Linked DNA regions of Sus scrofa. The protein of the gene in region 1 interacts with the protein of each later gene in a pairwise test. Links are inferred from orthologs where the notes say so. Each region holds a gene or a part of one and is shown in the gene's direction. Other genes may lie near its edges.

The links. The genes of interacting proteins can lie anywhere in the genome.
Region 2: the proteins of ABI2 (region 1) and DTNB interact in binary tests that used the Homo sapiens proteins (3 or more experiments, as listed by UniProt). The link is inferred for Sus scrofa from reciprocal best matches to the Homo sapiens genes ABI2 and DTNB.
Region 3: the proteins of ABI2 (region 1) and KIFC3 interact in binary tests that used the Homo sapiens proteins (3 or more experiments, as listed by UniProt). The link is inferred for Sus scrofa from reciprocal best matches to the Homo sapiens genes ABI2 and KIFC3.

Annotation. Positions count from the first base shown.
Region 1 is NC_010457.5:106,858,998-106,864,287, forward strand, and holds part of ABI2 (abl interactor 2), read left to right. Parts: intron 1-131; coding exon 132-256; intron 257-1,868; coding exon 1,869-2,051; intron 2,052-5,290. UniProt on the Homo sapiens protein: Regulator of actin cytoskeleton dynamics underlying cell motility and adhesion. Functions as a component of the WAVE complex, which activates actin nucleating machinery Arp2/3 to drive lamellipodia formation.
Region 2 is NC_010445.4:113,226,732-113,232,470, forward strand, and holds the start of DTNB (dystrobrevin beta), read left to right. Parts: upstream 1-2,429; 5' UTR 2,430-2,628; intron 2,629-5,739.
Region 3 is NC_010448.4:19,692,795-19,698,752, reverse strand, and holds the start of KIFC3 (kinesin-like protein KIFC3), read left to right. Parts: upstream 1-2,648; 5' UTR 2,649-2,761; intron 2,762-4,555; exon of another isoform or gene 4,556-5,958. UniProt on the Homo sapiens protein: Minus-end microtubule-dependent motor protein. Involved in apically targeted transport. Required for zonula adherens maintenance.

The DNA of each region.
Region 1 (5,290 bases):
ATTCATATTTGAAGTGAAAGACTTTGGAATTATCATCGTATAGCTATATTCATTTCAGAAAATTTTGGAAAATGCTGGTGATACCTTACCATATATAAATGCTCATGGTTTGGTGGCTCTTATTCCTTTAGCAGCAGCGGGAGTAGTGGAGGAAGCCATCCAAGCAGTAGGAGCAGCAGTCGGGAGAACAGTGGAAGTGGGAGTGTGGGAGTCCCCATTGCCGTTCCCACCCCCTCTCCACCCAGTGTCTTTCCAGGTAAAACATGCATTGTGCTTCATCATCACCTCTCCTTTTGGAGTCTTGAGTTGAGTTTCTGATTTAATTACAGTGGGTTTTCTTCATAATTGGATTTTTTTTTTCCCTTTAAGAGTCTAAATGTTGAGAAATCTTTATCCATTTGTTATTTTAGCCAAGTGATTTGTAAGTTTGTTACAAACTTCTCTGTTATTTGGTTTAATGTATTTGGTGCTATGGCTGAGGTGGTGCTTTGAGGTTTCAGATACCACCTTGGAATGAGTTACGTGTTTAATTCCAGCTGGTGTTATGACAGTGCATGCCTTTGGACACAGTGGGCACCCAGTGTGAGGATCAGATTGGTAACCAAGGATTGGACAGATATAATTAACTAGTTAAATTTAGCTGACTCTGGAACTTAATAATCACTGAAATGCTACCCGCTTTTCTCTGAAACAAAATAATGTATGGCTATACCACCCTGAATGCACCCGATCTTATCTGAAACAGAGAAATGTACTTGTTTAATTTGAGGACTCACAGTTAAAATTTAGTTTTTAAAACATGACCCAAAAGACATTAAGGATAGGATATTACATATTTAATTTGCTTTAATAACAAATAGATAATATCTTTTTAAAAGTCATGAAAAGGAGATTTGTATTTTTCTAAATTCTTTTTTACCAATAAGATGTTTATGTCTGGATACATGTTTAGTTTCTGATTCGTGTAAATCAAAATGGAATATGGTTTTTTTTTTTTTTTTTTTGTCTTTTTGCCATTTCTTGGGCCGCTGCTGTGGCACATGGAGATTCCCAGGCTAGGGGTCGAATCGGAGCTGCAGCTGCCGGCCTACACCAGAGCCACAGCAACTCGAGATCTGAGCTGCGTCTGCAACCTACACCACAGCTCACGGCAACACTGGATCCTTAACCCACTGAGCAAGGCCAGGGATCGAACCCGTGACCTCATGGTTCCTAGTCGGATTCGTTAACCACTGAGCCATGACGAGAACTCCATACTGTTGTTTTCTGGTGTTATGTTTAATTTTGTATACTATTACAGAATGTTATGGTAAAAATAACAATATAAAAGGAGCACCTTTCTTCCAGAATAGTGGCTGTCGAGTGAAAAGGAATGATGCTTTTTTTTTTTTGCTTTTTAGTGCTGTGCCTGTGGCATATGAAGTTCCCAGACTAGGGGTTGAATCAGAGCTGTAGCTACTGGCCTACACCGCAGCCATAGCTACATGGTATCCAAGCTACATCTGTGACCTACACCACAGCTCATGGCAATGCCAGGTCCTTAACCCACTGAACAAGGCCAGGGATCAAACCTGCCTCATGGGTACTAGTTGAGTTCATTACTGCTGAGCCACAGCAGGAACTCCAAAAGGAATGCTTTTAATGAATTTTACAATCTGTACATTACCCTTAGCATCTTGAATTATTTGCTGCAAACCTAATAATCCTTAACATAAACTTCATTCTTTTTTTTTTTTTTAACACTCTCTTCTATTCTTTGGTTATTGATAAACACTTAGTATCTAACATTAAGTTCTCTAATACCATTTCTAATCCTGCCTAATGGAAGTGCCTCATTAATGCTGCCTCTTACTCCTCTTTTCCCCCAGCCCCTGCTGGCTCTGCTGGTACTCCTCCCCTTCCTGCTACTTCTGCATCTGCCCCTGCCCCTCTTGTTCCTGCAACTGTCCCTTCCTCCATTGCCCCAGACGCTGCTGCTGGGGGTGCCCAGACCCTTGCTGATGGCTTCACTTCTCCAACTCCCCCTGTTGTTTCTTCCACTCCCCCTACAGGTGAGTATGGGCTTATTCCTTGGCAGGCAGTCCAGTCCTCTGGCTCTTCTCTTACTTGGAACTTGATTTTATGATTTTTTTGTTGTGGTTTGTATTTTTTTTTAAATTGAGACTAAGGTAGTAATTAGAAAATGGCATGTGACTGAAGAATAGAATTTCCTGAGGAAATCTGCGTAAAGGTTCTTATTTTTCTGATAGAGTAGCACAAATACACAGTTTTTATTACTCAAATTTCATTTACTAGAGATTCATGAATTTAGTATGGCGCTGTCTTCTGTACAGTTTTGAGAAGTTGTCGTTAGAAGTATTCTTTGTTACAGTTAAGTCATCAACAAAAAGAAAAGTCTGTGACAATTTTAAGGTATGTTTTATAGGAAATATTTGATATAACAGTTTAAAGTATAAGTCTATTTTAACAGAATTCATTGCGTATTGTAGCAGCCTAGTAAACAAATAGACAGCGGTCTTTTTAAGAATTTCAAGTTTACTTGTACCTTAAGGTCGACTGGTGTTTTGGTGTTTTAACATTGCAACCTAAAGACTGTTTTGATGGGGAAGGAGAAAAAGGTGCAATTGCTACAGTTTATTTGCAAAGTTAATAATGATGCTGGTTTGTAAACAGTTTCTGATCTGCTGTAAAAATGTATGTGCTTGGACACACATCACCTTAGCTGGTTAATAAAGTACTTCATAATATATGTGTATTCAGCCCTACTGTTATGCCAAGATGCTTAGATTTTTTTTTTTTTTTTTTTTTTTGTCTTTTTGCCTTTTCTAGGGCTGCTCCCGTGGCATATGGAGGTTCCCAGGCTAGGGGTCAAATCAGAGCCATAGCCACCGGCCTACGCCAGAGCCACAGCAAAGTGGGATCTGAGCCGCGTCTGCGACCTACTCCACAGCTCACGGCAACACCAGATCCTTAACCCACTGAGCAAGGCCAGGGACCGAACCCACAACCTCATGGGTCCTAGTCTGATTTGTTAACCACTGCACCACAACGGGAACTCCAAGATGCTTAGATGTTTTAAAAGACATTTTAAAAGTCCGTTTTAATCCATCCATTTTGGATGGTGTTTAATGGCATAGCTTCTGTAATAGCATTTTTTAAGAAAAGCTTTTTTCAGGGGTAAATGTAAACATGAGCTGTCCTTTGATATATATACAACTCTGTTAGGTCACTCCAGCTAGTTAACTATAGAATCATGTTATGCTCCTGCATCAGTAGAATAAGGAATTCATCTTAAATCAGTTGTAGGCCCAAAAAGGACAAATCACTCTTATCTAGCATCTACATTTTAGTAATTAAATTACAACTTAATAGCAGTTGCTGGTTTCTCATCTGCACTCAAAAAATTTATTGTATGAGTGAAGAATTATAGTTTTTTTTAACAAAAAGCAAGGTAAATGCCTTATTAAAAATTTATATCAGTCCCTTTTATGTCATGTCTTCGAATCACCAAGTACTTTTTTCCTTTTTTTTATTAAAGTATAATTTCTGTAGATTAAAATTCACCCTTTCTAGTGTGCAGCTTCTGTGAGTTTTGACAAATGTATGCAATGATACTACCTCAACCACAGTCCAGACATAGAACAGTCCTATCATCCTCAGATTTCCAACATGCCCCTTTGTAATCAGTCCTTCTGTTTTCCTCTTAGGCCCTGGCAACCTCTTGATCTTTGTTTCTAAAGTTTCTGCCTTTGTAGAAATATCATAAATCGAAGCATGTGTGATAAAGCCTTTGGGTCTGTCTTTTTAGCACAGTGCATTTGAGATCTATCCATTGTTACATGTTTGTTCCTTTTTATTACTGAATAGTGTTCTATTGAATGGGTTTACCACAGTTTTTTTATTAATACTTTACCCAATTGAGGGAAATTTGTGTTATTTTCAGTTGTGAGTGATTATGAATAAAAGTGCCAAATATATTCATACATAGACTTGTATGTGTACATAGGTTTTCATTTTGTTTGGGTAAATACCTAGGAAGTAGGATTGCTGGATAATATGGGAAGTGAATGCTTAACTTTATAAGAAATTGACAAATCGTTTTCCAAAGTTGTTGTACAGTTTTGCACACTTATCAGCAGTGTGTGACTTCCACTTATTCTGCACACTTGTTAGCATGTGGTATTGTTATTCTTTACACACATATTTTTAATTTAGACATTCTAATTGGTGTATAATAGTTCCTTGTGGTTTTGTGGACATTTCCCCAATGAATAATGATGTAGAACATCTTTTCATGTGTTTATTTGCCATCTGTTTATATTTGATGAAACGTCTGTTAAATGTTTTTGCTTCCCCCCACATACCTTTTGAATAGGGTTGTTTGTTTTCTTATTGAATTCTTTCACATTCTGAATTAGTCTTTAATTGATTATGCAAATAATAAAATTATTTGCAAATATTTTCTTCCATTTTGTGACTTTTCATTCTCTTAATGGTGTCTTTTAAAGAGCAAAAATTCTTTGATTATTCCCAATTCATTGCTTTTTTTCCCTTTAGATTGTACTTTTGGTGTCAAATTTACAAACTTTTTGTTTTATAGATGTCAAAAATATTTTCTTGTTTTCTTTTAGTAGTTTTTAGTTTTAGGTTTTTATCATTAGGTCTATGGTAATTAAACTGTAGTTTTGGTTTTTTTTGACTCAAAGCAAAATAAATGCCTTATTAATGGTATGAATAGAGTTTTTGTTTTTATTAAAGTATAGTTGATGTACAACATTGTGCCAATTTCTGCTGTACAGCAAAGTGACCCAGTCATTTGTATATATACATTCCCTTCCTTATATTATCGTCTATCATGGTCTATCCCAAGAAACTTGATATAGTGCCCTGTGCTATAAAGTAGGACCTCGTTGCTTATCCATTCTAAATGTGATAGTTTGCATCTACTAACCCCAAACTCCCAGTCCATCCCACTCCCTCCCCCCTACCCTTTGGCAACCACAAATGTGTTCTCTATGTCTGTGAGTCTGTTTTTGTCCTGTGGATAGGTTCATTTGTGCCGTATTTTAGATACCTCATATAAGTGATATCATATGGTATTTGTCTTTCTCTTTCTGACTCACTTCACTTAGTATGATAATCTCTAGCTGCATGCAATTGCCACAAATGGCATTATTACATTCTTTTTTTATGGATGAGTAGTATTCCGTGTGTGTATGTGTGAGTGTGTGTGCTATATATTATATATATTACACACACACACACACCCCACATCTTCTTAATGCATTCA
Region 2 (5,739 bases), on another chromosome or scaffold:
GTGGCTCAGCGGGTTAAGAGCCCAACATAGTGTCTGTGAGGATGCAAGTTCATCCCTGGCTTTGCTAGGTGGGTCGGGGATCCAGCATTGCTGTGAGCTGTGGTGTAGGATGCAGATGCTGCTCAGATCCTGCCTTGCTATACGGCTGTGGCATAGGCTGGCAGCTGCAGCTCCGATTCGACTCTTAGCCTGGGAACTTCCATATGCTGTAGCTGTGGCCCTCAAAAAAAAAAAAAAAAAAAAAAAAAAAAAGTGACATGCTCTGTGTTCTTAAATGCCTCCAAGGGCCCTAGCAATAGACTCAAAAATGGCCTGGAGCATTTAGGATGAAGCCTGAGAGCAGTGCAGTGAAATCGTGGGGACAGGAGCCACACAGCTATGGGTTGGGGATTGAGAGGGTGCTGAGTTGGCAGAGATTTGTGAATAAAAAGGCAGGAGTAGTAACCAGAGCATGATCTAGAGTGACAGAGGTGTCCTCCTTTTTCTTTAGAGCAGGAAAAGCTCAAACATGAATAGATGGTGACAGCAAAGGACAAGTAGGTAAAAGAAGTCGGCAATTTGGGGAATGAGAGTGAGGACTGAAATGCTTGAAAGAAGTTTTCTGAGAATGTGAGAGGTGCAGAAATACAGAACTGAGGTGGCGAGATGCTAATATGAATATATTAAAAGTGGTTAATTCCCAGAATGGCTAAACCACATACTGAAATTACTGTGGTTTCAATCAATAGGGCAAACAGAGCAAGCCACATTTACATGTTTATTTTACATTATTTACACATCTTTCCTCCAAAGGGCAGGATCGATGTTTCACCTTTTCAATGCCTTCCACACAATTGGTGCTCCGTAAGTAGTGAGTAAACAAGAGCTCCCTTACCTGTATTCTGTGTTTCTTAACACATTCAAAACATAGCTAAGACCCTGCACACAAGTGAAAAATTCTTCTATGTATGCAAAACAGTCACAAAATTTATGTGTGATAGACGATGCCAACTTTTTTTGAGGAACCTGTTTACTCGAATTTAACAAACTTGGTTTCCAGCATCTCCTTCACCATAGAGGTTTAAAAATAGGAGATGAGAGGAGGAAGAGGATGCTGTAAAGGCAGGCAGGCAGGCAGACAGCAGCAGGAGGTGGCACGATGTACCATAAGTTGCCAAAAAACAGTGAAAAACCAGACTCAAAACATACCGGCCTGGGCTCTCCTGGTTTAGAGATTCACATCCTTCACTAACATATCAAGAGTCTTTAAAGTGTTTGGAGCCTCAAAAAATGTTGAGAAAATGATCCTTTGAACTGTTAAAAGAAGCATTGCTGTTCCTCATTCGGCACCACCTTCTGTTTCTCACACAGTTTGGACAGGATTTGATCAAAAATGGATATTAGGAGTTCCCGTCGTGGCGCAGTGGTTAACGAATCCGACTAGGAACCATGAGGTTTCGGGTTCGGTCCCTGCCCTGGCTCAGGGGGTTAACGATCCGGCGTTGCCGTGAGCTGTGGTGTAGGTTGCAGACGCGGCTCGGATCCCGCGTTGCTGTGGCTCTGGCGTAGGCCGGTGGCTACAGCTCCGATTAGACGCCTAGCCTGGGAACCTCCACATGCCGCGGGAGCGGCCCAAAGAAATAGCAAAAAGACAAAAAAAAAAAAAAAAAAAAAAAAAAAGGATATTAAAGCAAAAAAGCTGATGCTGAGATGGTAACCTTTATTTACTCTCCGTTCCTTTGTCCAAGCTGTTTACCTAGCTTTTAATGTCCCCTCCCCCTTTTTTCCTCCTAGTACGTCCTTTTCTTCCCTGCATGGTGAACACAAATGCCACCTCTTCCAAGAACCCCCGAGCATTGTCCAAGCGGAAGTAATCTCTTCCTCTGTTCTCCCACAACATCTCACTGTGGCTTGGCTTTGCACGGGTCACCAGACCTGGTTGTTTACATGGCTGCTTTTCCACTAAGTTATGCGCTTCTTGTGATCGGGGACCGTGACGATGACGATGTAACCACACAGCACCTGGTACAGCGCTACAGCGCTAGGCACGGAGTCGGTGCTCAGTAACTGCTCGCTGGGTTGAATCAATCTGGAAAAATCACTCGGGGCAGGGTCTCGTGCTCCAGGCACGGATGAATGATTCGGGGTGGAGGTGGTTCTTTGCATTTTTTACCTCGTAGTTACGTCGGGGCGAGCATCCAGGTGGCGGGGCCCATACCTACGGAGTAGAAATGCACCTCCGCGGCCCGCTGCAGACACCCGGGCGAAGTCGGTAGGGGGCAAGTTTCCTCCGCCCTCCCGGAACCCGGCCGTAGGGGGCGGGGCTCGAGGGGAATGAGGCCCGCTGGCCCGCCCCCTCCTCCGCGCGGCGGAAGCCCCGCCCCCAGCCGCGCGTTCGCGCAGGCGGCTCGTGCCCGCCCCCAGCCCTGCGCCCTCGCGCCCTCGCGCCCTCGCGCCGGGGGCGGGCTCGCTGCGCGTGCCGGGCGGGGAAGCGGCGCGAGCCGGGCGCCTGAGAACGTTCGCCGCGGGGGCGGCTCCGGGGCCTGAGCGGACGCCGCCGCCGCCTGAGCCGCGGGGGCCGGGCCGGAGGAGACGGAGGAGGCTGCGGCCCCCGAAGACCTTCTCGACGCCCCCAGCTCCGGCCGAGAAGTAAGTACGGTGGGGGTTGGCGGCGGCGGCGGCCGCTGGCTGCGGGAGAGGAGCGCGGTGCTGGAGCCTCGCGCTCGCGAGGGACGAGAAGGAGCCCGCGCAGCGCCCGCACCTGGGGAGCCTGCGGGGGTGCAGGGCCGGGAGCGGCGGAGACTGAGCCTGGGAGCCGGGGCCGCAGCACCGCGCGCGCTGTGAGAGGAGACGGCGCCGCGCGAGCGGTCTCCGCCGCTCCTGGCCCCCGCCGCTCCCGGCCCTGGAGGGGCGATCCGAGGGGATGGAGCGCAGCCCCCGGCTGGCGTCGCCGAGCTGTGATCCCCGGGGCCGGGGAGGGGACTCCCGGGTCCCGAGCTTGCTGTGGCCACCGGGCGCGGAGCTGGGGTGCGGGCGCTGGACTGATGCTGCCGGAGGCCGGCTGGCTGGGAGGAGGCTCTGCGTTAGGTGTTGAAGGGGGCGAAGGAGGCAGGTCCTGGCAGAGGGCAGGTGAGGCAGGCAGGCCCTGGCAGAGGGAAGGGAATTTATTTCACATCGCCCTAAAGCACTATTTCCCGAGGCGCCTAACAGTGAACCTGTCCCCCGAGGTCACCCTTTAAAGGAAAGTGCCCTGAGAGGAGGGAGGATGCAGCTATGGAATGCTTGCTGTTAAATTCCTGTGCCAGGCCTTGGGATTAGGAAGACCTTCCAGCCTTCTCAGCAAATGTTTATTGATTAGCTCTTTTCGGTCGAGAACCGTGATCCACAAAATTGTGTAAAACACAGCCATCGTTTGCTGTTTGGGTGCGGACAATCCGATTGTGAAGGTATGCGTATAAAATACAAAGCAGATTTGAGTTTTACCTCATACCGTATTCATTTTAGGTCTCTTTTTTCACAGTATTGGGAGGTTCGAGTCATAAAACTGCTTGGTTTGGGGATTCAAGTAGGAGGGTCCGAGAAGCTTGTGGGAAGAATTTGGGAGTTTTTGAAGGTGCTTTTAACATTTAAAGGGGGAGAAGGGAAAAGAGAATTGGAAATAGGTAAGAGAAGGGAAAAGGGAATTGGAAATAGATAAGAAGTTCCCTTCCTTCCTAAGTAGAATGAAACTCCATGACTGTTAACTGAATCCTCAGTGACAGGAACAGAGCCTGAGCCCCAGCAGGCACTAAATGCCTGCCTCTTGCAAAAATGAATGAACCCAGCAAGGTTTTGCTCTATTTTACACGGAACCCTGTTGATCAATTTGGTGGTAGGGATAGCTGATGAACTTTACTTGTTCTTCAGGCTCGATCTCTCCTTTTTTTTTGGCCGAGTAACCCAGGTTCTTAGATCTTCGTGGCTATAGTGACGGAGGTGTGATTTTTTTTTTTTTGGCCTTGCTGCCACTTTCACGTCTTTATTGCATGTTGGCTGCCAGGAGCTTACTCTTTGGGCCATTGCTTCAAGTCATCCCATTTCTGGCCCTCCTCTTTTCCATCACTTGGGGAAGGAGAATACTTTTGTCTAGAGAACACTTTTTCATTTTTATTCGTGTTCTTGGATCTTAGGTCTATAGTGAGAGGATATATCTCTGTTTTTTGAGGGCTGAGATTCTGCCTTTTCTCTGCCTTGGTTGGATTTCGGGACTCAGGCTCCAGGCTGCTGTTTCAATTGCCTGTGCTGCAGTGCCTGTTAGGTTACTTTGACTGCCAAATTAAAACTTGACCTTTTATGAGTTCTCTGAGGATTTTTATCACACATAAATGGAATTACCTTTGAAGGGGGTAATGTAGTCAAGGCAGTGCTGGCAGGGTTTTGAGTGTCCACTCTGTGTGAGAAACAAAATTTCTACTTAGAAAATCAGACTTAAAGTCAATAGAATGCCAGGTAACCATTTATTTTATGTCTTTAATATAAAATATCTCAGGACCTATGTTACCTCATGAAAATAAAGTATTAATTCAAATTTGGCATTCTGTAGTAAGCCTTGAAGAACTAAGTTAGTTTCAGGGCTGTGTACTTAAGAGTACAACCAGCAGGTGTCTACTGGTTCTTATTTATTTATTTATTTATTTTTAATTTAGGGCCGTGTCTACTAATATGGTGGTTTCCAGGCTAGGGGTCAAATCAGTTTCTGCTGCCAGCCTATACCACAGCCACAGCAACACCAGATCAAGCCACAATGGGAACTCCTACAGTTCTTGTTTTGGGATACCTAGGTCCTGTAATTTTGGATGCCTTGTTTCAGGTTTTCTCAATGATACTGTATTTTATTTATTTATTTATTTAATTTATATTTCTTTCTAAATCGCCTTTATTGATGTATGGTTTTCATATAATAAACTGGATAGCTGTTCCATGCAGAATTGGACGAGTTTGAAAAAAAAAATATATGTATATACAGATCTTCCTTCTTATTTATTTCTTCTTTTTTTTTTGGCCTATGCCGCAGCCACAGTGTTGTGGGATCCCAGCCACATCTGCGACCTACACCACAGCTCACAGCTGTGGCTGATCCTTAACCCACTGAGTGAGGCCAGAGATTGAACCCTCATCCTCATGGATCCTAGTCGGCTTTGTTAACCACTGAGCCCTGAAGGGAACTCCCCTCTTATTTATTTCTAATTATGCAAACATGAGGGCTGTGGCATCTAGTTGTGCAGGATGTATACTGCTAACTGTAGGGGTGCCATTCACATCCGGGTCCCTGAGCCTGGTCCCTCCTGGGGTTATATGGTGCAGCCTGTGGCTGTGTACTGCAGCCCTGCAAGTGGCTCGTGAATGCACGCTCTCTTAGAAAATGCTCGAACAGTACAGACAGACTAAAGGCCCCCTTGACCCACTCCCTTCTCCACCAAAACTGCGATTACCAGTTTGTTGTGATCCTGTCAGACCCTTCTCTCTAGGTTTTCATCTGTATGTAGGTAACGCAGACAAAAGTAGGATTTCCTGCCAGGCCCCCATTAATGACATGATACTGTACACCTTGGTCTGCAGCTTTTCTCTGACAGAATGTCTAAGGTCTTTCCATGATGGAACATAAAGATCTACCTGATTCTTGACGACTGCCCAATCCCTTATGTAGTATGCACTGGACTGCGGTTTATTAATCCTCTCATTAAGGGTCATTAAAGCTGTTTGCCGTTTCACACGTTGCTG
Region 3 (5,958 bases), on another chromosome or scaffold:
TCCAACAATCATGAAGCAATTTGCCTTTGCATTTCAAGTCAGAGTTTTGCTAGAATTCAGAAAATTCTTCCTTAAATGTCTCAATTTTCTCTTTCCTTCACTGGTGCTTTGAACTTTATAAGCTACTGCATGTATGTATGTGTGTGTGTGTATAATACTATACGGTGTGTGTGTGTCTATATGTGTGTGTGTATACATACAAGTATATGTGTATATATATATATATATACACACACACATAGACACACACACACAAACTATTGGGTTCATATCTCGGCTCTAACACCCACGAGGTTTGTGAATGAACTTTAGGAGGCTCAGTTTTCCCTCCTGAAAATGGGGGCTGTGACAGTACTCTCCTCATAGGGTGTTTGGGGTTAAACAGGATCTTATTTTTAAAGCGCTCAGCGCAGCGCCTGGCACAGTGTTAGCTGTGGATAAATGGTAGCTATTATGTGCATGGAGAGAAAAAAAAAAAAAGACTGTACTAAAATGTTGGCAGCATTTATCTTTAGTGGGTGGGATTATGGTTACAATGAACATCTATTACTTCAGTAATCAGAGAAAAAGAACAATAAATGTTATTATTAATTTAGAAATCTGGCTTCGGCTTTGTCAGAAGGAACCTGCAGTTCATGTCAATGTACCAGCTACAATTAAGACAAGGCTTCCGGTTCTATATCAGGACTTTAAAGACAGACACCCCCACCGCACCCCTCCCCAGTCGGATAACAAAGAAAGATACTTGGTCAGGAATCTAGAAAAAATCTGCGGTCCTCCGGCCCTCCTATCCTCCTGATCCCTGCTGTCTGGAGGCTGGCAAGGGAATTCAGAGAAGAGAGCTCTCCAGTGATGGCTTGCTCACCCATTGGGAGGCTTCTCCAGGGTTCTTGGCTAGAAATCTAACTCTCCAGGGAGCCATTCCTGGAGAGTGACCTGCCCCCTCTATTGCGCCTTTGCTGAGGCATCTCAGTGAGAAAATAGAACGCTGGAGCCCAGTTTTTGTTCTTTTTAGGGCCGCACCTGCGGCATTTGGAGGTCCTGCTAGAGGTCCAATCGGAGCTGCAGCTGCTGACCTACACCACAGCCACCGCAAGGCTGGATCCTTAACCCACTGAGGGAGGCCGGGGATGGAGCCCGCATCCTCATGGATGCAAGTCAGGTTCGTTACCACTGAGCCACAACCGGAATTCCCTGGAGCTCACTTTTATTAGAGGGATTGTGAGTGTCCTGGTCTGGCCTGGTCTGGCATCCAGAACAATCTGAGGCCCAGAACCTTGGCTCTGTCTCTGGTTGAGATTCTTGACCACTAGCCCAGCGCCTGCCCAGCGGTAGGAGACAGAACCCATCTGGAGCTGCATGGGCCCCTCCAGTCCTCTCCTGGCCCCTCCCCAGTTAAGCAGGAAGGGGCAGCACGCGCATCCCCCTCGGATTATCTTCGGAACCATCAGCCTGCACTAGGCTGGCTTCTGAGTTTCTTTCCTCTCTCCTCCTTCCGCACCCTGGAGGGGGAATATTGCTGCTGACTCTGGAGTAAATGCTGCCTCTGTTTGGGAGACAAAGAACAGAGTGGCTCCTCCGGGTCAGCTGTCTCTCCTTGGCTGGTCGGCTCCCTAGCCTCCCCCAGGCTTCTTCTGGGGCATTCTATGGGGGGGGAGGGGGCTTCCGGGGCTGCAGTGGGAGCTGCTGCTTGCTCCAGAGCAGCTACATTCTGTACATGTTTTCACGGGAGCTTAAAGGAATATTTTACCTTAAAGAATCTCAAACATCTCTGCTCTGGAAAGGGGGCTGTGGAAGGGGTAAGGAGGGTGGGGGACAGCAGGTGGTGCCCTGGCTGGGAGGCAACCTGGCCTGTGTACTCCTTTTAGAGCTAGCAAGATGATGTACGTGAAAAATGCCTGTGCTAACGTGTGACACTATGCATGTGCTAACTAGAGCATATGTGAAAGTGTGTCCCGGGGTTTAAAAGCACGCGTAGGCTGGAGTGTGAGAAAGAGTTGGCCATCATGTGAGAACATGCATGTGTGCAAGTGGGTGTGTATCCTAAGGAGTGTGTACAGCATTTGTGAGAAAGCATGGGGTAACGTGAGTGTGTGAGAATGTGCAAGTGTGCATAGGTACTAGCTAGAGTATGTAAGTGTGTGTGCTATGAAGTCAAGTAAACGTGTACTGGAGTTTGTGAGAGCATGCGAAGGGCAGCAAGGGAGCACTTGTGAGAAGTGTGTGTGTGAGCAGTAACTAGTGCAGTGCGTGTGAAAGTGAGGAGGTGCGTCTGAGTGTAAGTGCAAAAGCATGCGTGTTGAAATGAGCGTGGGAATGTGTGTGAGAATGTGAGTGCCTTCATGTAGACTCCCTAGAGCATGTGTGCAAATATATGTGAGTGCCGTGCATATGTGAGCACGTAGGACGGTGCGTGTGCGCCCGGATGAGCACGCATGTGTGCACAGGCATGTGCGGGGGGGGGGCGGGGGGCTTGGGGAGACCCAGCGGGAGGGTCTGTCGAAGTGGGCGGTCCCGCGTGTGAGTGTGTGAGTGTGTGCAGGAGCGAGCGCGCCGCCCCCCCACCCCCAGGGTCGGAGCCGGTTGCCATGGGAACGCGCCGCGGCCTCGAGTTAATCATTTCCTGTGGAAAGTGTGCGGGAGGGGCTGGAGCGGGGCGGGCCGAGGAGGCAGCGGCGTGGAGCAGCCTCCCGCCAGCGGGCCGGGCCGGGCCGAGCCCCGGGCACTGCGGCGACACCGGGATCCTGCCTCCGCTAGGCCGGTGAGTCCGGGGCTCCGGCGGGCAGGGGGCGAGCTGGGCTCTTGGGGTCCGCCTGACCAGTCGTTTCGGGTGCCGCGTCTGGGATCCCCCTGCCCCGCCCCGCTGGGGGGCGCGGGGAGGCCGGGCCCCGGCGATCCACCCCTTTTCTACCCTCTCCCCTCGCCGCCCCCTGCACCGTCCAGCCTGAGCCGAGCAGGGGAAGCGGGCGGCATGTCCCCTGGGATCAGAACAGCCTCGGGGCCACCTATCTGATTTCAATGGCCAGGGAAGCCGGACACTACTGGGGAACTACGTGCCGGTCAGCGCCGCCCCCTCCCCTGGCAGAGGTCCCTGGCATCCGCAGGGCTCCCCTGAAGGCTGCCGTTTCCGGCCCTCCCATCTCGTAAGCCCCTGGGCAGTTTGCTTCCCCCACCCCCGGGGCCCGGGCCGGGTGGGGTGGGCCCGAGGTTAGGAAGGAGCGCCTGGGCCAATGGTCTCCTGGGCAGAGGGGGAAATTGAGCCTTTGACAGCAGCTGCCTGGCGAGGAGGGGTCCCAGCAGGGAGGGCCAGGCAGAAGCCACCTCCTTCTACCCCCTGTTGTGAGTTAGAGCAGAACTCTGGCGCAGCAAAGGGCCTGGTCCTGGCAGATTTTAAAGAGGAAGCTGCATTTAAATTCTCAAGTACCGCCCCCCCCCCATATGTCTCAAGGTTAGGGGTCGTGATTACCCCTGGTCTGTCACCTTCCCTGGCTTTCTGTCTGCCTGAGACTGAGTGAGCACCTCTGCAGGCCCAGGCTATCCCCCTTGCCCTTGGTAAAAGTAGCCTTCTCCTTGGCCAGAGAGTCATTGGCAAGGAATGCAGTCTCAGAACGGAGTCCTGTATTTGCCGTGACTGGACTTTAGGGTGTGGGGCAATGAGTTCTGCTGTCCTCTTGGGTACCAGGGAGCAGAGGTTTCGAAATCTGGGTTGATCTGTAAAACCTAGGACGCGTGACTGTGCGCAGAGGAGGTCTAGCCCCTGTCCAACCTCCCTGACCTTCTGCCCGCTCTCCCAGGGAGACTAGGCCTTCCCGGCAGCAGTCTTTGGGCAGGTGTCACAAGTCTGTCCCCCAGTCATTGCACTATCCCTGGTCGGGGGGCAGGTGGGGGGCGGGGAGGACGCTGCAGCTCTACAACCCTGGCCTAAACCCATAGAGGCAGATGCCCCTCGCCCGCAGCCAGCCCCTCTGGCATTCACCCACCACTGGATAGAGGCCACTGAAAAATAAAATTGGGAGGTTCCCTGTAGACGCCGATATGCTTCTGAACATTGTACATAGGAATTGTCTAAACTTTACACCGATCCTATAAAGTAGCATTCTCCCCATTTCGCAGATGGAGATAATGAGGCACAGAGACAAAATAATTTTCCCAGGGTGGCACATCTAGTAAGTCGCACAGCCTGGTTCAAAACCAGCTTTTGGTCATAACCACACTCCTTGTTGGCCCCCATCCCCCTGCCCAGGACCTAGGCTTTTGAGTCTCCAGCCTTGGGCTGTTGTAAAGTCTTTGATACTTTTGACCTTCACCCCCCGCCCCCCCCCCCCCCCCCCCCCGCCACCCAGGCTGCTAAATTCAGCTGCTTTTTCCTCTTCAGGAACTTGCACACACCCTTCCTCGTTCTTGGTGATATCTTCCTGACTGCCTCCCAATTTCCCTTCCTGAAAGCCACGAAATACTGTCTCCTTGGGTCCCTGCCCCTCCGACTTCGCTGATCTCTTTGAAAGTCTTCTCCCTCAACCGTGGAATTGACCTTCAGGGCCCTTCACTAGCTCACCTTCCCCAAGGCTCCGCATGCAGGTGCAGCCTGTCTTGCTCCCCCCTCGCCCGTGGGGCAGCTGGTCCTCAGGGCTGCTCGTGGGTCCAGCTCTATGCCCAGCAGCCTGGAGAAGGGGACAGCTGGCTGCTCCTCCCAGTTCCTTCCCCTCCACGCTGGTCCTTCTCCATTTCCTCAGTGGAGCTGCCTCTGCCCTGACCTTTGGCCAGCAGTCCCGCCCACCTCCCAGGGAGACGGTGCCCAGGAGCTTCTTCCAAGGTGTCTTCCACGGTCAGGGAAGGCAGAGACTACAACGCCCTAACCAGGAGCCTGGCATTCTTCCCGGGGCTCAGCTCTGTGAACTTCACTCACCAGATCTTCGGGCCACCTATCCCTGCTCTCTGACTTCGTTGGCCTCTTGCTGCTGCTTTAGTCATTCCTGCCCCTCTATCCACCCAGCATGTGGAAATCTCTTATTCTAAATACCACATCCTCGCCTTCCCATCCAGCCAGCTTCCCTAAGAGGAGGAAGTGGCAGCTTCCGCTAGCTGCCGCCCATCCCTTGGGTCTGCTCCACTGACCTTCTCCCTTACAGAGCCCCCAGGGGCTTTCTTCCAGTTTGACCTCTCCTTTCCATTCACTCTTTGGTCACCTCTGAGGGCTCTGCACCTGCCTGATGCCTCTACCACCTCCTCCTCCATCTTTTCTTCCCGCCCAGAGTGAGCTCCACCCTCCCTGGTTGCCTCTCGTCTGGTACCACCTTTGATGATTGCATCCTTCCCTGTGGCACCGTGACCCCTGTCAGCCTCTGAGCTCTGTGTCTCCATCACCAGCCCTCTTCCAAGCTTCGGTTGGAACTTCTGGGTGCCTTCATATCAGAGCATTCATTCCCTTGGAGGTGGATGGAGCTGCTGCTCCAGGCTGGGTGCTGTGAGCCCCACCCTGGGGAGCCATAGAGGGTCCAGGGAGGTGGACAGCATTTAAATGGGGATCTTGACTGCCTGGTAGAGAGCAGTCTGTGCAGTGAGAGATGGGGAAAGTGGTCTACACCCTGGAGCCATTAGGAGGTCCTTGGGTGCCTCCAGCTCCATTTAAAAACAAAAGTAGCTGTTCCCAATGTCGCAGCTGCAACTTGGATCTGAGCGCTGTCCTGGGAACTCCATATCCTCTGGGGCGGCCAAAAAAAAAGGCTAGCTCCACATTGCCTTTTGGAGCTGACTTGGCTTCTTCTGGGTATGGCATCACTTATTGTCTGAATCTGGGACTATAGCTTGATGTCGCCTTAAATGCCCTCCAAGGTCCTTGGCACACAATAAGTGCTCAATAAAGACTTGTGCAGTAAATGACGTGTGTTCTGTTCACTTGCTCAGTTCATAAGGGCTCTATGGGGCTTTCTACCCAGACCAGTGTTCCCTACCCCACCC